Linked DNA regions of Styela clava. The main gene of each other region encodes a partner of the protein of the gene in region 2 in a complex. Links are inferred from orthologs where the notes say so. Each region holds a gene or a part of one and is shown on either strand. Other genes may lie near its edges.

The links.
Region 1: the proteins of protein unc-80 homolog (region 2) and sodium leak channel NALCN-like are in contact, whole or in part, in a cryo-EM structure (PDB 7SX3), measured with the Homo sapiens proteins. The link is inferred for Styela clava from reciprocal best matches to the Homo sapiens genes UNC80 and NALCN. Residues at the interface, in NP_115893.1 of Homo sapiens: Lys1979, Asn2004, Glu2005, Cys2006, Asp2007, Leu2128, Arg2129, Leu2130, Pro2131, Pro2134, Arg2135, Ile2138, Asp2139, Phe2142, Phe2145, Ser2146, Glu2179, Asp2184, Glu2185, Met2187, Leu2188, Asn2191, Asn2194, Ile2198, Leu2199, Glu2202, Ser2226, Leu2227, Ser2228, Gln2231; in NP_001337678.1 of Homo sapiens: Asn639, Met643, Val644, Ile646, Lys648, Leu649, Pro650, Phe653, Val655, Pro656, Lys657, Ile658, Arg659, Glu660, Phe662, Met663, Lys664, Gln665, Phe666, Ile667, Arg669, Val711, Ser713, Arg715, Ala716, Arg717, Leu719, Lys722, Glu723, Ala725.

Annotation. Positions count from the first base shown.
Region 1 is NC_135251.1:29,476,155-29,487,490, forward strand, and holds the start of sodium leak channel NALCN-like, read right to left. Parts: upstream 5,186-11,336; 5' UTR 4,855-5,185; coding exon 4,816-4,854; intron 2,708-4,815; coding exon 2,525-2,707; intron 2,165-2,524; coding exon 2,081-2,164; intron 1,779-2,080; coding exon 1,615-1,778; intron 1,064-1,614; coding exon 935-1,063; intron 74-934; coding exon 1-73. UniProt on the Homo sapiens protein: Voltage-gated ion channel responsible for the resting Na(+) permeability that controls neuronal excitability. NALCN channel functions as a multi-protein complex, which consists at least of NALCN, NALF1, UNC79 and UNC80.
Region 2 is NC_135251.1:23,382,894-23,394,369, forward strand, and holds the start of protein unc-80 homolog, read left to right. Parts: upstream 1-6,898; 5' UTR 6,899-6,958; coding exon 6,959-7,053; intron 7,054-7,475; coding exon 7,476-7,524; intron 7,525-7,606; coding exon 7,607-7,763; intron 7,764-10,932; coding exon 10,933-11,140; intron 11,141-11,341; coding exon 11,342-11,476. UniProt on the Homo sapiens protein: Auxiliary subunit of the NALCN sodium channel complex, a voltage-gated ion channel responsible for the resting Na(+) permeability that controls neuronal excitability.

The sequences.
Region 1 (11,336 bases), about 6.1 Mb from region 2:
TTCTGGACAGAGCGAGCTATCATTTTTCGAACATGTTGTATCTGGTATTGCTAGATTTTGTAGTGTGACATTTCTGCAATTATATTTATTCACATAAGTTATAATATATTAGTTGTTGTTAGACAAAACATTTCACATTTACTATGAACACATATACTAAATTGTTGATGACTAAAGATATTGATCTGAACTTGTCTAAATTATTAAGTTAATAACTGATAATAGGTTTGGCGGGTCATATCAATTACTAGGAATACAGCTGCCCTCCCACCTGTGATTACCCTGTGCGAGATTTGCAGGTTCAAATCTTGGGGAAGATAATTATGTGCGAGAAGATTATTAAAATCCTTGAAATCGTAGGGTGGTTCAGCTAACTGCGATAGTCGGTTAAGGTTCCCTTCACCATCAATTCCATGCATCTGAAACAATCAACTGGTTAACCATTTCCATACACGACATGGACTGGTAAACAGACGAGAAGCCATGGTTTGTCATTATAATTAAGCCATCTTTTCTTTTCCCTGGGATACCTATAGAAATCTTACAAGCCGGAGTTTTTTTCTGGCTAGGGGAATAATGGATGAATGTCATTTATGTGCTTTATCATGATTTTGCGCTTTGAACTGCAGCGAGAGGCAACTGTTTATGAATGGGTGTGTGTGAGATGTACAGAAATTAAAACTGTACTTTGTGATGTAATACTGCAGCAGACATTTTACAACAGTATCCAACTTTATTATTTGTATGCTCATCCCATAAATATATTCATTAACAAAATAAGTTGAAAACCGAGGCAAAGGCTGGGGACTGGCATAGATTAGTGTGAAAAATGAGCACAACTAAGAGTGTAAAGGATATAAAATCACCCAAAATGAAATATACTAAATCTACCTTTTCATATATTATTCTGGAATGCACAAGCCTACATACTTACCTAGGATCAGTATCTTTTGTTACACAATGATATGAAAAGTCACCAAACATTTGAACACCAAGAATCCCATACAATAAAATGAAGAAGACCAAAAACAGAGTCACCCCAGCAATATGTTGACTAGCCCGCCTGAAATGTAAGAAAGTTTTTAATCATTCAATATTGATTAATATTTTACGAATTTTTATCCAAACCAACCAATTTAAAAAAACAGTGGAATCTGATTCCCATTTTAGAAACTTGGTGTTTATTTGTGTACATACACATTTTCTGCACTAAATTTTCTATATTTAATTTTGCATATTTTGGTGGACATGATGGCATAGTGGGTAAAGCGTTAGGCTTAACTATGTTAGCATTGCAGGTCACACATTCCTGGTTTAATTTCCGTGTCCACCACCTCACCCAGGGTGAAATAGATTGGGTGGGCATTGATAAACCGAGAATTAGCAGTTTTTCAAAAAATAGCAGCTCTCCACACATCATTAGATATCAGTGGAAGCTTGTATAAGGCCACGTTCAGAAAAAACAAAATAAATAAGCATTGAATAAAAAATGTCTTAATTGAATCATTATCTTTGAGAAGTATGGTGTAAAACATTAAGAATTTCAAAACTCTGATATGAAGGGCCTTCTTGTACATCAAATTATAGAAAAAAGTAATGCATATAACAACTCACAGCACAATTGCGGTCACTTGACCACTTCCCGATGACAGAAAATATCTGAAAGCTCTGATTATTACAAGAGCGCGTGGTACACGAGATAAGCCAAGTGGCAATATTGGAGCAATTTCCGGATCTTCATACTCATGCTCATGCTCATGCTGGGATAACTCTACTGCCTGAAGTATAAACAAATATCCATTCGATAAAACTGAATTCATCAAGTAGTTAAGTGTTGTCATTGTCAAGACTGGGCCAACTTGTTTATCTCCATATTCCGAATATACATCTTAAAACATTTTGGAAGTTGAAAATTTCAACTTGAAATCACAGTGATGTTTGTATATTGTGCAGATTATTTAAGATGATTTTTGTGCTCTAACCAATTATACTAAGGTAAATATAATATATACAACAATTGTCAATAACATGTTTAATTATTAAATACTGGTAATAAGGATGAAATTCGATTCCTGTGTACCTGCACCATAACTGAAATCCATATGAATATTGTATCGACACAATCAAACACACAAGAAACATCTTTGAAGTATGGTTTATCACCCTGAAATAAAAGAATGAGATTGGTTATACTTATACGATATGAAGAACGTTCAATCAGGCTTAACATCCAAAAGCTGTAATATTATTATTAAGATTTCGCCTTTAAAATAATGCTTTGGTTTCTGGACAAAAAGGCAAATTTTGAAAAAATCTGTATTTGGAGATATTACAAGAAAATAGGTGTTCTTTAATCTCATATCTGATCAAAGTTTGAAGCAATATTCACCATAAGTATTTCAATAAAAAGTTATGAGGGTTTGAAAATCAGAAATTTATGTTTTCATCATTGTTTCATTGTTTATTTAATTATTCTACTAAATATACATTGACACAACTGACATTCAGCAGTGTGAAATTTCACCTTTATCATTCCTTTCAAATATATTTTGAATAACATTTCAACAGAGAGAACAATCCCAGCAAATATGTCAGCAAATATAGTGATTGAGTTGAAGACAGGATAAGCTTGTATTGTTTCTGGAGTATTTGCACAAACAGATACGAAACTCAGCAATGCACATGAGACAACAAACCGTCGAGTACTCTGAAACATACACATAAGAGAATGAGAAGTCATTGCAAATACAGAATAGAAAGATTATGGAGACTAGTATTTGAAATTACACTTGATATTTAGCCATGTTATGTATGTTTTATTGATTCTTTAAAGCCCATGACTTAAATGATAAGAATACCAAATCTATTACCTACAATCAATTAATAATATAATTCAAAGTACAATGTCACATTTTGCTGCAAACAGAATCCCAGCGAACACAATAAAACAAAAGTCGGGAGATTCACAATGCACACTATAAATACGTTTGGCTATTTATTACCATCGAGATAGTTAAAAAAGTCTTCTGCTCCACACAGAAAATTACTTATGCCTGCGGAACAAATATAAGAATGATAATCACACATTAAGTACATGACGAAATTGCCATTGTTTCAAATGCCGGCCAGTCATTGAATTAAACTATGTGTATCAATCCGTTCATGTTTTAATTAGTAATTCAATGACGCAAAATAGTGCAACACAATATTTATAAAACTGATATGTGCAAAGTATATTCTTATACAAGTATGGGCATTCAAATCAAATAGTCGATTGCAATACCCCGGATGTCCGAAAATCGTTTCTAGTGTTTATAATATTATAAAATTTTATTTTACACCAGCAAGCATTCTGGGCGCCGCCGTCGGAGACGTTTTACTTAAATGTACTTTGCGATGGTTATACGAAAAGGGGACACATTGCGCACGTAATTAATTGTGTGCTTCATCTTCAGTTTAAATCGTAACAGGGTTTAACGAGAAACTTATGAGTTTCTTGAGTTTTGTAGTGTCTAAAATAGAATTTGTATAACCTTACCTCAACATCCCGGAGTTCGTTTTTGACGTGTGTGGTATTATTGAATTCCTAAGCTAGCACAATGCGAGCGAATTCCAAAAATTATTTCAGTCGTTATAAAGGTGTCGTTGATGAAAGTATTGCTCATACTTTCGCAATACGCAATACGCAAAGTCGCGGGGTTAAATTGTGAGAAGATATAAGGGAGATCTAAAAAAGTCGTCATGAATTAAACCAGTGTCGATTTGAATACCTTATAACACTATTTTTCAGCCTTAATACTCCTTTTTATTGGCAGTTGAAAATCTGGGTTGTGGATTCACTCCTTCAAATAATTATCTTCAGTGTCTCGTTGACAGAGAAGATCGCGTAATGACTATTGCGCTTTTCTGACTGAACCGTAGGTTTCGCGAGCGACAAAAATATTCGTCATTGTCCGTAGTTGAACAATATTTAATATAATAGTTCTGCTTCGCGAGCAAAAAATAATCATCGAAGTCAGCGATGGCACAAGACTTAATACTTGCATGGAGAGATACTTGTCAGATAGTGGCGGAATCTGTCGTACTTGTGTTGGCGGGCCAAATAACACTCACGCTGACGACACCCAGTCTGTATTTATAACAAAAATTAGTCACATAAAACCATTTCACTGCATTCCTATTTGCTATTAATTCTGTGCCTGCCCAGGTACAAGCTACAATTCATGAGTATAAATACTGTGGTGATTTCTAATTCTCTCTCAAAAGCAAAAATAGTTTTAAATTTCAATCATATCACAGACGCCATATGTTCTCTTTATATCTGCTTTACTGTGATAACAATAATAAAAATTCCTATTCCGTTGGATTTTAGTGATTTGATTAACATTTATGTTGTGTCGGACCTAAATAAGAATTCGGAATTCAATATTTGATGATAATAATTTAAAATTTAATTGGAATAGTCTAGCATTCGTTTATTGCCATTTAGAGAGGTGTAAATCGACCTTGTTAAGGTTTCACTATTGGATTCCAGTAGTTTGGGATTCAAATCCTTGGATTAGGCAATAAGAGTAACGTGGTATAGTTCAACGCTATTGAACGTGAAGAAAATTAGAATCCAAACAATCGGCCATTCATTACACGAACCATACTGTGATGTGATTATCTTCCGCGAAGCATTTAAAGCTACAGTAACAAAATGCACCAAACAACATACAGAAATATGAAATACAATCAGCAGCAGGATATGTAATGTATGGCAAATCTGAGAATAGCAAATTCTAAAAAGTTATGATTAAATAGGCTAAAACTCACCTTGCTGTATATCCAGTGGGTTCGAAGGTTTTCGTTCATGTTGTTTTCGTTTTTGCGTTACCTAAAAAAAGTTGCAACCCACAAATACGCTGACAAAGAAACGATCTATATAGCAGCAAATCCAATAGAGCGCGAACGGTCTACGTCTATCCATTCGTCGTGGGACGAAACAGACGGGATCGATCGATCGATCAATAGAATTTTGAAAGCCAATACACTGTTTTTCGACTGTTCCGTTGCTTTTCTCTCGTTTTGAGTTTAATGACTAATGAACTTAATTAGACGATAGGCCACACACAGCAACAATATTTTTTATTAAAAAATGTAACTTTTCCGTATAAATATTTCTTGGCGCAAAATGAACAAAAATATTGCTTCAATACCCCACACCGTACGTTTTCATGGTTCACTTACTGATCAGGCCCAGTATGTCCCGTTTGCATTTGATTCAGTGGTGGCATTGAGAGGGTTCCCGCGAATCCGTTCTTGATTTTTGTTTTAGACGTTAGACGACCGAAGCATATAGATTACGTGCGCCGCAGCTGACAATTAGCGTTACATTCGGCGTTTACGTATGTTATGTATGTTTATGTGGTTATGTATTAGATCTATTTAAAGCGTGTTATGTTAATGCGTGAATTCAATACAGAAGATAACCCTTAGCTAAAGTTTTGACTCTTACCACTGGGTCAGTATATTTCCAAACTGAACGCAAGGTAGAGGTTTCACAACATTACCACATTGATCGTTTTGGATTTGCTCAGTTGCAAAACCTTCGGTAACTAATAGATGAAAATTCGCATAAGTCATGTGTTTTTTGTGCCTCCCGAAAATGCTGAAACATAGTAGTTCAATTTCGAAAGATTGATAATATTATTTTGACGACACCAAAAATTTCAATATTTTGCCTGACTATGTGCTGGAAATAGAGAAAATTGTAATAATGCTTTGAATTAATTGATAGTTTCAAAAACACAACTGATATTTGAAAAGGACAATACAAGTAAGTCGAGATATTTGTTGTAAAAATTGACGACTTTCTCAATTAGATAAATAAATAATATACATTCATCATACATTTTGTAGCAAATACATTAGGTAGTTACTATCTATTTCAGTACTTTTAAACACTTATTGATAATAGTTTCTTTTTTCATGCACTACTTCGTTTCGGCATCCTTATCCATGTATTTCAGCTTTTGCTCCCTTGTTGGACACGAAGTGGACATAACGATCGTTTCAATATTATGTTGTTGTTGTTCTTGTTCTTTGACACGTTTTTAAAAAGTCGCTTTTCTCTTCGAATACTGGACCAATTGCTTTGAAATTTTCAGTGGTTAAAGATTAATTTTTTCGCTAGAAGGCTATTACTTTTATTTATTTCAAAATTTTGCGTGAATTCTATGAAATTTGATATTTCGTCTAAAATTTTGCTGTATTATTTTTTATCCATGGGAACACGGATTTTAGTCAGTGTCATGACTGGCTGTACGTTTTGATTCTGCAAAATTCTTGCTACTGGAAATTCAGAACTTTTTTGAGGGTACCGGTAGCGTCAAAGGTACCGGTAAGGACTGATTCGCTCTGGTCTAACGTGTCCATATATTTGTGCGTAGCTGTCTTGTTGTTATTGGACACGAAGTGGACATAACGATCGTTTCAATATTATGTTGTTGTTGTTCTTGTTCTTTGACACGTTTTTAAAAAGTCGCTTTTCTCTTCGAATACTGGACCAATTGCTTTGAAATTTTCAGTGGTTAAAGATAAAATTTTTCTCCAGAAGGCTATTACTTTTATTTATTTCAAATATTTCTGTTAGCTCTGTAAGATTTGTTTTGGTTTGCTATGACGTCACTAAACGTTTTACGGATCTCGGACGCCATTTTGTGTCCAACGGACCATCTTGCAATTTCAATTCACGCTGTCACAAGACAGGACCTTCTAAAGATAGAGAGGTTCTGGTACCGTAACACAGCGCGGTGACACTGAACTAACTCGTAGCTGTCAAAAGCTTGAAAATCCATACAAATATGAGAAATAAAAAGATGAAACTTGGCAGGTGGGTAGAATTGTGTTTCTTTTAACCATATTTGAAAGTTTCGCGTTTCTACATTTGAAGGAGGGGGAATAGGGGGTGTGCATTTCCGATACGTCGATAATATCTTTGTCAACCAATTTGCGGCCACCGTGTTTTCGTCTGTTTGATTGCTGTGATGTGGTGCTTTGTTTATAATTTAACGAGTTTTGTTCGAAATAACCGTGTTCTTGAAATATATGACGGCCAGAAATGCAATTAGAAGCCCAATATTTTCACGCTGTCACAGGACAGGAACTTCTAAAGATAGAGTGGTTCTGGTACCGTAACACAGCGCGGTGACACTGAACTAACTCGTAGCTGTCAAAAGCTTGAAAATCCATACAAATATAAGAGATAAAAAGATGAAACTTGGCAGGTGGGTAGAGTTGTGTTAACCATCTTTGATAGTTACTTCTCTCCCCCGGGATAAATATGTAAATCCTATCCTAATACGTCGATAATGGCGATCGATGGCGCGGCGGTGTGGCTCAACGGGCTAAGCGTTAGGAATACGCTCGCCACCGCACCTCTAATTACTCTGCGTGGGTTCGCAGGTTCGGATCCCATGCATGGATGGATATGTGCGAGAGGATTGCTGGACTCCTCGCCGTCGTTGGGTGGTTCACGTAACCGCTGGTCGGTTACGGCTTCCTCCACCACCAAGTCCATGCTTCCGAAAACAAAATATACAGTAAAACTAATCCCTTACCCGACTTGGAATGGTAACCGGACGAGAGGCCGTGGTTCGCCATATGGATAAGCCGTCTTATCGACTTTCCTCTCCCCCGGGGTAAATATGTAAATCCTATCCTATAATATCTTTGTCAACCAATTTACAACCACCGTGTTTTGTCTGTTTGATTGCTGTATGGCTGCGTAAGCGATAGTCTCGACGCAGCAGAAACGATGATCAAGGCTTGAAATCCGTGGTCGCACACTGGTCGTTCGGTCGCAAATACGTCTTTCGAGTGCCGTACTTTGGGGATTTGTATAGCTTTAACCCTTTGTCGTAGAAAGTTAATACGAGCTTTAGCGTGTAGAATGAATGCCGCCAATGCACCCACGGTGAAAAAATTAACGGGTTAGATATATTGGTTTTTGTTTTATAGCGGTTTGAATGAAATTGTCCGCAGACTGGCTACACCACCCTAGGCCTGGTGAGTTGTCCGTGTAGTCGAATTGTCCATCAGCCCTAAACGGCTATTACAGTCACTGTACCAAAAATTGTACCCCGATTCGGCTGGTGTTAAGTTGACGCATGTTATTTAGTAACGTTTTTATGTGAAATGTTTGACTGTGGTTCGATACCTGATCCGATAATACGGTACATAATTGACTCATATCACGAGATATTTCAACTGATGTGATGTTTCAATTGTCACAGGACCTAAAATATCTATGACAGTCCCTGTACCGTCACGGTACCCCGATACAGGTACTGGTAAGTCACCGCCGGTATGTTAGTCGTTGGTCACCGCATATGATTTTTGGGGAATTGTTCTGCGTGTCTATATATTTGAGCATTGCTCTCTTGTTGGACACGTAGTGGACATAACGATCGTTTCAATATTATGTTGTTGTTGTTCTTGTTCTTGTTGTTCTTTGACACGTTTTTAAAAAGTCGCTTTTCTCTTCGAATACTGGACCAATTGCTTTGAAATTTTTAGTGGTTAAAGATAAAAATTTTCTCCAGAAGGCTATTACTTTTTTTTTCGCTATGACGTCATCAAAATTATGTGACTCTACGTGTCCATATATTTGAGCATAGCTCTCTTGTTGTTATTGTTATTTGTCTCCGTCTACATTTTTAAAAAATCGCTTTTCTCTTCGAATACTGGACCAATTGCTTTGATATTTTCAGTGGTTAAAGATAAAATTTTTCTCCAGAAGGCTATTACTTTTTTTTTCGCTATGACGTCATCAAAATTATTGCCACTGGGTGGCGCTACGTGTCCATATATTCGAGCATAGTTCTCTTGTTTCCAATAGGATTGTTTTCATACGACGTTTTAGGCAAAAAAGTTGAATTCGTATATTTCCACCCTCTCCCAGTGTTGCTTGTCTTTGTTAATCGTTTTTGGCTAGTGAGAATTTGGTTTCATGACATATAATTTAAGATTTTAAGTGTACTTCACTATCTGATATTTGGACCAATTCGATCGTGCTACCCACAATACAATATATATACGAACATTTGGCATTACAGGCTATTGTTTGCTTATTTGAGTTCAGTTGGGGTTTACTCCACTAGAGTACGTCAAATAGTACTGGAGAAGAACACGCAGAATAGTGTCTAACTCCCCTATACTTTCATCTTTAGACGATGACCACCACAGGCGTCTAACCCATCGAAAATTCAGACCGAACTTGTTTCGCCAAGATGAGACCAGAATTAACTGAATTAATCTGCTGGTCTGTGCTGTAGGCAATTACTCAGATATAGTGAGTTAAAACAATTCACAAAATAAAAAATGACTGCTGAAGATCCAAGAACCCTCTGCATAAACCACAAACAGACGACATATTGAAAATAAAGTAGTTGCATTTTTGCGCCCAAATGAACAAACCCAAAGTACGACTCGGACAAGTCATATTCATTACAAACGTCATTTTATTTTCAGGCATCACGACAGCCATTATCCATATGCAAATTAGCAATATTTTATGAGATTGTCTGGCTTGCAAGCAGGATCACATACATCAGAAATTACTGTCGTACGGGAAATAACTCTTCGCGCCACATTATGTCGAGCGGAATTTGATGCGAATTTAGCTATGTGACAAAGTGTATTACAAGGTATGGCCAACTAACGCATCCAATTTCGGCATAAAATATAATTTATAGAATATTGGTGATGAGACCGCATTTCGGTGTGCAATATTACTATATGGTTAGGGCTGGGAATTTCAGGGAAAACACTATAATCGATAACCGGGTAAAATTAACCGGTTAACCGCAGCGTGACGTTTGACGTGATAGTTTTAACATTTTACGCCACAATGGTTACAAAGCAAATTCACGTGATTTTATCTGCGCACACTGAATAGACGATTTTGCAATAAAATCGTGAACAATATGATATTTTTACCGGAAACTGATTCAGAATTTATCATTGTCAAATTTTCATAATCAGCAATCTTGTTACTTTATTTATTTTTCACATTTATTGGGACCTTCCTTACCAATACAGTTAATGATATTCCTTTGAATTAAACGCAACAAGAGATAAATTTGCGATGACGCAATCAGTTTTGAAGAAATTGTACATTATTAAGATTATTTGTAACTGAGATGTAATAATGATTATATCGTAAATCTTTGCTGAAAACGCAAAGCGTGCAACACGGTTCCATTACATTTGAACCCATGACGATTGCACCTGTATGCTATTGCACCTATGGAATTTTTTTTGTTTCACGGATAGTTAAACCCATACTAACCCTAACCCATGGGTTTTAGCACCCGAGTATAGATTGAACCCGTGGATATACGCATGGGTTCAAATGTACATGGGTTCAAATGTACGGTCACCGTGCAACACACTTCACCATTAGGAATCCATTCCATATATATTGTTCTGTGTCCGCTGTACCTACACGCGAGCTTCTCTAGCAAACGGGGCAATCGAGGTGTGTAATGCCAGAGAAGACGCTGGTATCTGATTGGTAATTAAAGCAAAATGTAGAAGTCGCCGCACAGTTCTGAAGAGGCAGGCTTGTCCATTAACAATATATATACTCCGTGAAGGGGCTGATGGACACATTTATAATATTTATGAATATAAAGTTGACGAAGCCTGTAAATTTTGTTGTTTTGTATGTCTCTTCGTACATGTAGTCCTATTTAGTAGACGCTAAACCTAAATTTAACAATTTTTATTGAATTGTATTCCACTGGGAATCTCATGGGATGGTAATGGGACAGAAAAATATGTCCCATGGACAAGCCTGTGAAGAGGTGTAAACAGAATACCGTTATCGAATCCCGCGATTCGAATATTCTGAAGATTCTGCTCCTATGAACAGTTCCACTGCAGTGATCAAAGGGTCAAATAAAAATCTCACTCTTTTATGTGGTTGATACCGTTTTTAGACATATTCAATATTACGGGAAATGAACTCGTATTATCTGCCTCTTACCTTACTGGTTTTGCGCATATTACTTCCTACTACCACATTTGTATTTTAACGTAGAAGTCCCGCGACATGATACTCGTAAAGCGTCCTGCAAAATTAAAATGGTGTTTATCTCGCTGTGGGTCTAAAAATTGGCAATCTTTCACGTGTGCCCTTTCGGCTTAACTTCTGATGATGTAAAATTTAATTTGTTTAAATTTAAATTTTAAAAAGGGTAATTAATGAACATGGATATAGTGTCAGAACTTTGTCAAAAGTTCATTCCTACAAATTCGCTACGTTTGAACAAATTTATATATATGAGCTG
Region 2 (11,476 bases):
TTTAATAAACTGACTCTGTCACAAGTTGCTATTATTTTTTATTAATAGCTATAAACTATCAATTACTTTGTGTACATATACTGTTGGTCTGTGGCTTCATTCTGATATTTCTATTGGAGCTTATTTCCTAATTTACTGGGTTTTAATCAACTAAAACAAAAATGTGTTATTTTCGATTTTAGAATGTATTCGGAATTCCAGATTCGAAAACATTATTTTAGAATGTATTCGGAATAGTTTAGTATTCGGAAATGGCCATCCCTGCTTGCCTGCTTTAAAGCTACTTCATGTTTACAATTGTTGAAAATTGTAGGAGGCTTAGTGTATTATGCATGTTTTTGAAGAGAACTGCGCTGGGATATCGGTTTGGTGTCTGGCGCTGATACTGTAAGGTTTAGTATCTCATCTTCATTAAATCACTACAAGCCATGATTTCCGATTTATATCATGTTTGTTAAGTATTTATGTTGCAGTGATGGCTGTTTTCTGGTTTGCGAAACAATACATTTATCTCCTCTCATTTTAAAAATTAATAACTGCCTCTTATAGCAATGTCTATATAAACTATAGGCAATAGTTTCTTGGTCATGGCAACTTTATCACAATACTGATATTTTTTCAACTAGATTCCCTTTTCATTGTACAGTGTGGCAGGTACATTTTAAAATATATAACGGTGAAACAAGTTTCAAGTGAGTTACTATCACATTGATATCATTGCTGCACTCACCTAGAGGAAGTTAAATTATCGTTTTATCCCGGAAAATTCTGTTTCCTAATTCTATCATATTTTTGAACATGCTGTGAACCTGCCACCTGATCTTATAAGTCTGACTCTGTGGTGCAATTCGCTTTGGTAGTAGTTGAGTTAAAGTGCTATATAGTTTTAGTTTGTACTGTGTTTAATTAGTATTTTAAAGTAATAGATAGTTTTCTGTTTTTTAGGTTGTCAAAATGATATTTGGCTTTCGCTGTTTGGAAAGTAGCTGGTGTATGTTTGCGTCATGCCTGGAACTGAAAATAAATTCGTAGTGATTCAAACTGTTACTTGGCTATACGGTGTGATATTGTTAGAGTATTCCGATATAATTCATTATTTGGCCTGGACCAATGTGATAGAGCATTGAATCACCTAGTGATTTTGCCGGCTTTCGTCGCACAGGTAGTGCTGGATCATGGCCTTCAGACGCCCTAAGCACTTAAGACATTGGTGGTGCCCTATGTGTAAAATAATAATGACTGGCGTGTTCCATGTTATCTGAAATTGAATAATTAGGTTTCTGTATTCATTATTGATTGAAGGCCAAATTATGACTAATTTGATTGATATTTTTAGCAAATAGTTTTCATAACTAGAAACATTTATCTATAGGCTTAAGATGATACTTGAGAAAGAAAAATAAGCAAAATTAATTTGAACTTGGCCAATATTGAGGTCTGAATCGTCTATCCAATTGTTTCATTAAACACTGAGACAATATTGAAAATTTCTGTGGTGGCACCTTTTTCTTGCTGCTACGAGCATGTGCTTCTTGGTTAATTCAGTCTTGCCTACAACTTGCTTTTTATACGCCTGCAAATCCGTCTGCACAACAAACTCTTGTGTTGAAGTTACGGTCAAATGCTAGTTAAACGTTCAACGACTGGTGATTTTTAATAGTATTAAATAACGGACAAATGCTATTTAAACGTTTGACGACTGACGCTTTTTGACAGTATTGAAGTAACAGTGGAATGCTATTTAAGCGTTTAACAACCGACTCTTTTCAACAGTATTGCAGTTACGTTGAAATGCTATTTAAAAGTTCAACAACTTACGCTTTTTGACAGCATTGAAGTTACAGTGAAATGTAACAGTATTCATTACTGATTGACGGCCAAATTATGATTAATTTGCATGATATTTTTAGAAAATAGTTCTCCTGCCTTACAAACATTTGTTGAGGTTTACGAGGATATTTGAGAACGAAAAACATGCAAAAATTTATTATATCTGAACGGCAATATTGGAATTCTAGTAGTCAAACCAACTCGAATTATTTCATTGAACAGTGAGGCATCATTGAAAATTCGGCTATGAAAATTTATGTGGTGCTCGTGATTATCAGCTTATTTGTTAATCATCTCCCTGGACATAGGTCTGATTTAGATTTTTATGTATCTTAAAGTAAACCACTTCATCACCTATGCCCAATCAGTGTAGTTTTTCACGGCTTTTGACTGTCCTCGTCAGTGTCATCACATTGCATCCAACATGTTATCTTTGTATCAGATTGAATTGGTCCTAATTAGCTTATAGGTATATTAAAATGTTAGCACCTGAAAGTTCAATACACTCACGCACTTTTTGTGTGTTTATTTCTGATCCAAGCTTTGGATTTTTTGTAATTTTTTCTCACGTTTTAACCTTTTTAGGGTTTTACTCGCTCTCCAGAATTCTCTATTTTATTCTGTGTGTATTATGGAGTTTTCAAAATAAGCTGTATATATCTAAGCCAATGCTGGTTATCAAGCAGCGAAACTCGTGATTAAGTCTAAAATTGATTGAAGAAGGAATAGAAAAGGGACGAACAATTAATATTTGAAAAGTTTTATGTCAAAGAATCTAATCCGTTACAAACAAAGAACCCGATTACCGATAAATTAACCACAACCATGGGTAACAGCCAAGAATCCACATGGTAGGATTAATACAATTTGCGTGGAAGTGCTGTTCAATAACATTGTTTGGACCTCCTGAAGTATGCGCACCAAGATGGCGCACAACCTGAACTCAGGTTGTGTACCAGGTTAGGGTTCAGGTTATGCGACATCTTGGTGCGCATACTTCAGGAGTACCCATTGTTTTGATTGCTGTGAAGGGCGCGGCGTTCTGACAGAAGCCGAGTCCGAACCGGATATACATAACAAGACAGTTAATAGGCAATCCATTATGAAGTATATAAGCAGTGACAAGGTGGCATTTTTAGTGGAAGTATGCAAAAAGCAGGACGTCACAATACAGATACCTAAAATGTATACAAGATATATTCTTCGAGTGTAGCCAACGTAAGTGCTCAATTGAATTCTGCGATGTTCTGCCTCCCGATAGGTAGACTAATTGCCTGATTATCGAAGCGTCGCCTTTAAATTCACGCGCGGTGGGTATGCTTATAATCCAAATTAACATACATGAATCAGGTTTTTGGGGGATTATTGACAAGCCTTGTGTATTGGCTATATTTTACAGGTGTTGCAGTCCAGTCTCAAAAACGTCGATAAATCTGATCTTAAATACAAACACGGCAGCCAGATCAGAGAAGTCTTATTACTGTTAGGTTGACTTGCATTCAGTGGTGCTGTTTGCATTTTTCTTCTGAGCGCGACAAAAAGCGCATTTTATGAACACGAAACTCATTTAAAATTACACCATACAATGGGCATTATCAAAAATAAATAACTGTAGGCTATTTTAAATAATAAAAAAGTGCAATATTTGAACCATATAATCTCACCCTAACGGAACCGTACTTCGATTGAATTTCTGTAGTTTAATGTAATATAAAAATTGGTTGAAAGCTGTCGTAGTAGATTCGTTGACGAAAGGGAACAAGCGCAAGTCCAATTTGAGCAATATTTCTAATTGCTATAATACCAAGTATGTCTTTGTAATCATACGATGAGGAAATCCATACAACTCAAATACAGGGGGACTATATATATATTATGTTTTCATTTATCATTTTATTTATCAATTTGTTTTTAAAAGTACTAATAAATGCTGTCAGGTTGGTTAATGTAGCTAGCTAGCGTATTCCCACGCCATAGTATAATGTAGACGTATAGAAGAATAACAATCGATCACGCATCATTCTAATCTGCTAAAGTTTTGTGTATCTTTATATGCCCATGGAAGGGCATATCTGAAAACGCAATTTTTGATGAGGTTTATGTAATATTCATTATATATATACCCAAAGGTGACAGATGAATCGTCCTAAACGACTTCAATTTAGAACATTTCCTATCTTATTTACTAAATAGGAGAATGTGTAATGCATTTGCGACAGATAAGAAAACGAAAGGCCGTTACCAGTCAATAAGTTTCTTTTCTCTTCTGTGCGGCATGATTTATTTGATCGAGCATCTGTAATTCAATTAGCAATGAAAAACGAGACAAACAGAGGGAATTGGAAAATAAGGTTCCAGCAATTGGTTTGGTATCGACCCGCTCTAATCATGTCTCGCGCCTGAAGGAATTTTCTTTCGAGACACGTCGCTCAACGTAAACGAAGGCTCGTGACATACGGCCCCAGAAGGCGACCAAGGTAAATGAAGATGGACGGGCGAAAAATCTGTGCGCAGCCATATATTATCGACCCTAATTGCGAGCGAAATTGAAAAAAAGGAAGAATACCGTTTGCATAATTGAGTACCCAATACACAAAATTGATAGAAAGAAAACGTTAAGGCTAAGATGCAGTGTAGAAGACGCCTGGAAGTAGATAAGATTTTTAGCGTGAGCCTAGTGCGATTCTAATGCTACAATCGCAAAAATATTACTACAGTTCAATACGTAGTGTACTGGGAAAAGGATGCAGTCGATCCCCTGGCTTCTGGAAAGCCTCCCTGTGTATATTTGGTGTTATGATTGAAAACAACAACGTTAACATATAATTCTATTTTACAATATGCGCAAAAATATAAATTCAATTGTAATATTTTAATTCCCTGAGATTCACGTTGAGCCGCCAGAGATTCCGTCCAATTTTGATCTAGAAAGGATTTGATGAGCAAGACCACCTGTCGAGCGAATACTAAAAACGAATACTACAACATTATATTTTTAATTGGCCAACTTAATAGATGCTGTCAGACGAACCAATAGGCAACCGACTTTGACTTATACATATATATATATAGTTGCATGTCGAAATACTTGGTACCAGACTGTTTCTCTAATCGAGTTATTTATTTGTTGTATATTGTATCACAACCTATAGGTAGAAAAAGAATACCAGTAGAATGACTATATTATATTGATCAAAGGTGGTCTCCAGTTAATCTATTGAATTCTCTAGATATAGAATTTAGTGGGGGCCAAGTAGCATAAAATAGGCGCAGGCAAGGCGAGATTTCGCATGCTACAGGAACTGACAAATTTGTCCACTTTCGAAATTATAATATATGACACGGTTTTCATTTTTGTGATACAATTTTATCAACGACATTACTACGATAGTTTTAATCTTTTGACAATTATTCTGATAGTGTGATGCGACATTTATTTTAGTTGATACGGATAGTCAGGAACACTAACAAACACTCATGTGAAACTGATGATAACATATAGATCGCATGCCAATTGAAATGAGTGGAACTGCCAAATATTTATTGATTGTATTTTTAAAGTATGTATGAGAAGTATTTGAGTTGCTATTCTGCTTCAATTAATCAAGTTATATTTTGAGACGTAAACATGGAGATTTTACTTGCTTTTTTGTTTTAATAAGTTCTCATTCGAGACAGCGTAGAATTTATACCTGTCATTACAGTTTAGCGTGAATCCGATACGACTACTGTTGGGATTGACTGGAAATTAATATTTTATATGCCGTCAATCTTTCATGCAGACGTGATGTAAAATATGTCGTCGCCCTGCTGTACTACGCATAAATCCCCGCAAAGCGTGCATAATTAAATAAACGAACAAAGAATATGTGCCGTACCTGTTTATAGGTACACATGTTTCTGTAATCCCAATACCTTTTTGGGAATTATGCAAATTTTTTCGTTGCGATAAGATTTTGGTTTTGTAAGATTCGTCAGTTGCGAGAGGACACGCAGCTTTTTGGGTTCCATACCAACTCGAAATAGAAAATGGTTGTCCGACGCCATGTGAATGCTTGGCACTATAACGGTTCCGAATTTGATCAAAAGCATTTTTTAGTTCAATTTAAATTAAACTTGATGGTAAGGCCCACCCAACTCGCAACTCTAATTTGACATATACCATGTTTAACTCTGGTAGTAAACAAATGAAAAATTTGGCGAAGTTGATATATTAAGTTACCTCTGTATATGCCGCTACAGCGTGGGTTTACCCGTTTTCATTCCAAATTTGTTATTATTTGCCTGATAATATTATTTTCCTCTTCTATCATTTGGACTTTGAGTTATTTGCGTAAAGCTGTAGTCGGGGACATTATTTGACTCGATTTTCTACCAAACTAACTTTATTCAGTAGAACGATATAGATGGAAAATTGCGCGTTGTTCTTTCTTTCTGGTAGGTTTTCGGTGCGTATACTAGTTATTGATTGAAATGAACGATTTTCCTTGCTTCTAGTAAAGTTAACTCGGTTATGTAAGAATAAACGGAGAAAGGTTGAGTAATGACTTGACCCCACTTATACTAACCTTACATGGGACACAATTAAAGAAAACAGGATCGAAATGCAGTGGCTGGGGAAAACAAGATAGTACCGATAGCTCCACTCCACTTAGTATATTTCAAATGAATTGTTGATCAAGTTTACGTTTAAGGTAGGATGGTGTCATGTAATTTACGTTTCTTGAAAAATAGTTAACATTAGACACTGGTATAGTGCAGACATCAACGATGAATAGAATGAAGCAAATCAACGGCAAGCATATATAGCACTGAATAGAAGAATTATAGAATTTCAGATTGACCAGCACATTTTCATATACGTCAAGGCATGACCATACCTATCGAAATTTTATGGATATTAGTCATGGGTATAAAATAGACGAGGGAAAAGTCAGTGTCGCAATTGGAAAATGGTGGATAGGCTTCCATTCTCGTGTAGGATAATTTATTAATGACAATCAGCTAGCTAACAAAAAACTTTTTTATCATAAACAATAATTTTAAAAAATGGGATTTTCAAAGTGGAGTTGATTTTTTTCTTGCAAACAGAAGATAATATAATATTGTTTCGTTGTGAAAGTTCAAAATGGTGAAACGAAAATTTGATGATATTGTAATGCAAGGGCCTGAAACATCGTCCATACCTTTGGCTATCCAATCATTTTTATGGCGACAAACAGAGTAAGTAAATATTATTCTTTAAACCAAAGCATTGATTTACGAACAAATACATATAATAAATAATTAATATTGGAATCAAGAAATATAAATGAATATGCATATACAGTATATTTTATAAATTGTTCCTCCCGGTCGTACGGCAAAAGGCTTCGTACAAATGAAATTATTTGACTTTAAGGAAACTGAATTTCTAATTGTCATAGCCAAATGCTAAACTCTGGGTGGAATGTTGGACATATTATGTTGAATAACAGAATGATTACGAAGGCTCGAGATTTCTAACCTACAACGTTAAGGTGGTAGGAACTACGTGATAATGTTGTGGTTATTAATTGATATAAATAATGAGGTTCTACAACCAGACACTGCCGCAATATCAATATTTAGATTGCATCAAATTAACTGCATTTATATTTTAATAGACCCTTCTTTCGACAAAAGCTGGGAAAGCTATATGAAGCCTCGTGTGTGGTAAGTCAAAACATACTCCTTTTGAAAAAATCTAATCGCAAATTACTGTTCTTCCCATTAAATATATTTGGTTGTTTTCCAGCTATTTGAACATGTTCTAGTAGAAAACAAATTAAATGGACTTCCACCATCACTATACGAAGCTGTAACACGAACTCCTAGGCGTGTACTCATTGAAGCAGCCTTACCACATGTTATGCATTGTGCATCGGTGATGCTCAGCAACAGAAACAAATTGGGTATGAGAACGTTCATATTACGTCTTATACGTGACCTAGAAAGTGTGCATTATTACGATATATATGGCATCTAATGTATGTAACTCGATTATATTGGTTGGCATTGTATTCTTATTTGAATGAAGTATCGGTTTTAATGTTACTCCAGTTTGAATTGTTTGCCCAACGTGTCAGACGTTGAGAATAAATGACACTTGCCATCGTATCGCTGATTATCCAGCATGGGTTCGCAGGTTCGAATTCAGCGTTGGGTAATTAATATGCGCGAAGAGTCTCGTCTTAGTCCAAGGGCCTAGAACGCAATAGCAGTAAATTAACAATCAACTATTTCCATACCCGATCTGGACTGGCAGTCGCACGAGAGGCTGTGGTTCGCTATAAGTTTTGCTTTCATCTCTGAGATAAATTTAAAAATTTATCCTATACTGTTAAATATTTAGGAACATCGTCGATTGACTATTCTCATCAAAATCCATTAGACAAAATGGTGCAATAAGTATTAATATAATCTCTTTTTTGGTGGTGAAATAGTACAGCACTCAATTGATATTGATGAACTTGCGATTTAAGCTAGCGATGACGAGCCTTAGGCCGCAAACAAACTAAATTTGACTGTTGGTGAGCGCTAGATGCTTCCAGTCACTTCTTTCGTTTTTTTATTGGCCTTTGCTGCTGCCTTGGTTTCTTTCACACTATAATATACGCTAACGCGAATTTTTAATTGGAGACGTTTTTAATAAATCATGGAAAATCGCTTTCGGAAAGTGTGCTATCAATTAATGATAAGAGAAAGGCCTACTGTTTCTGAATAAACTGACGCACATGGCTAAAATATTACACGACCACAGCGGGCGCAAGCATATAGGTAAGACAATGGTCTTATTGAATGCCAGATGTATTTTCTCATATTCCGATATGTGATACGAGTTACCAGTGACGTTCAAATTATGTAGCTCTATGTGTAGAATATGGCTTTTGTTACAAACATTAAACCATAAGGATAGTTTAGAGTTTAAGCCACAAACAAAATTAAATTTGAATAGCCTAAAATTTAAAAGAAAATACATCTGACATTCGATAAAACCATCGTCTTACCTATGCTTGCGCCCGCTGTGGTCATGTAATTTAAGCCATGTGCGTCAGTTTATCCAGAAACAGTTGGCCTTTTTCTTATCATTAATTGATATCACACTATCCGAAAGTGATTCGCGTTAGCGCATATTGTAATATGAGCATTCCTATAATTATCCAAATACCAAATTATCCTACCTAATTCAGACTTGATTGAATTGCGTATTGAATTTTTTATGACTTTCTGGTACTTGGGTATTTCGTCATAGTATTTCGCGATAGCTCTTTACCATTCAATTTATATGAATAATCGTTATTTTTTTCGACCAAAGAGAAAACATGGAATAAATCTTTTATTCAGATGATATAGATCCTTTGAGAACATCCAAATTGCGAGTGGGTTCATTACGCAACATTAATTACTTTCGCTATATTGATAACCTATGGTCTCATCAAAAAATGAACTAACGTAGAAATGAAAATGATAGAACTATCGAATCAATCAATTCTCCTTTAATCGATCGAACGTCGGAGTGACTTGTGAGCCCAATTATAGATGAATTCAAGCCATATTACCTTGGCGTACTTCAATAACGCAATATGCTTTTTCCATCCAATACATCTTAGAGGTTGATTTATCGCTTTTTTATAAAGTGAAATTTTAATTCTGGTTAGCAAATTTTCTGGAGCGACTTTGTAGCAGAAATCGATTTTTTATCTATTTTATTTTTAGCCTTCACTGTTAAAAATAGAGCCACATTACAGTTAATTTATAGTTGTTCAGATTCACAACTAATTGGTTACTGTGTTGAAATACCTAAAATGAGATTTATTTTGTTTCATTTTTAACAGCGTACGTCGAAAACAAATCAAATAAAAATCGATCTCTTAGGCTGCAAGGTTTGATGTAAATTGCAGTCAAATAGGCTATCAAAAATGGAAATAATTCTTGAACACTATAGAAAAATGGAACTCTGCAAGAATTCGACTTGTACAGTTCTTACAATAACTAAAATAAGTAATTTCCGTCGAACATATTACATTTCACTTAAATTGTGGTAATTTTATGGCAGACAATAAATATGAAGATTGAAAACTTATATAAAAGGATGTGGATTTTTGATATTTTTTTTACTCCTATCTTGAAAATTGTAACCTAATCCTTCTTCCCGCTATCGCAGCATGGAAACTGAACTTTTCGAATAATTTTATTGCTCGAATCTCGCGAAGAAAGGCAACTTAGATTAAACATATTTCTCATTTTTTATGTGTTGAGATTGAACGAGCCTATGTTCGAAATGGCCTATGTTCGAAAAACATTCGTTTTTTATAGTCTAAACTTTGAAGGTCTGAATAATTATATTCAAGTGTCCCTCCAAGGACACCAATTAAATATTAAATAAATACAGTTCAGTGTGATATCCCAAGGGAGTATGTGTACCAAATTTTGTCAGTTATAAAATCAATTTTCTATTCTGGCTTTCAAATCTTGATTTATATTATTTTTGGAATCCTAAATCTTGGCCAAGAAACAATTCTAACGTTGATATGTAGAACGTTGAATCTGCATATAATATATATAATTTTTGCATTTAGACCAATATTCTATCATAATTTTACTATTTTCATGTTTTCTCCATATTATGCTTTAGAGTTCAAGTACCCTCTATGGAACTTTACTGTTTATAACGTGAACGTATTGTTTATACTTGTGAAATTCTACTGACCAATGAATATAGCGTTTTGAAGTATGGGGTGAATAGACTGCTCAGTCATGGATTAAAATATTATAAGCTGTTCTGAAATATATATATATATACATTTGAAAAATTGAAACTAGCTTCGAAGATGTATTTTATTATTGTATGAATTATGTATTACAGCTCACGTATATTTTTCATAGGCACATTAAGATTGATTGGGGTTTTTATCCGTCAATTCAAATCGCGTTTTTAAAGACCAACAGGAGCTTAACAAGGTCAAGCTCGAATGCATTACCATACAAATGTAGTCAATAGTCTTTTAACTAAGTTTAGGTATTCAAATCAAAATACTGCTATTTGTAATATTGACTTGCAACACTGTTTAATTTTTACAGGCCATGCGGACATACTTGGCGTTGCAGCAACCAAACTGCTGCACACATTTCACAGCATACTTTATGAAAGCATGGACACAGCTCAGGAGGCTAACGACGATACGGGACTTCGTGCTGGGGTTATTTCAAATATCCAACTTTTCGTATTTTTATTTGCTCCTCTTGCCAACACAGTGAAAGAATCAGATTTGAAGTTTCGATTAGCAAGGTAAAATGTTGCTTTTAATTGTCGCACAAACCGAGGATGTATAAGCCTTCCCCCGCGAGTAAAACACAAGATCGCTAATCCCGTTTTCAAGATAAAATAAACAGTTTTATTCCCGGGCATTTATTGCATCTGATTTGCTACTACTTCCTTGTCCTTCCATACATTTTTCTTGTATTTTCATAACTGAAAATCATTTTTTAGTGGAATAAAAACATGGGAAGCCTTGTGGAATCATGAAATACCAGATATACGTGCTATGAATTCTACGGTCAAACCCACGGTATGTAACGACAAACATTCAAGAGGAAATAGCACGTCAAAAGAAAACTGTGACGA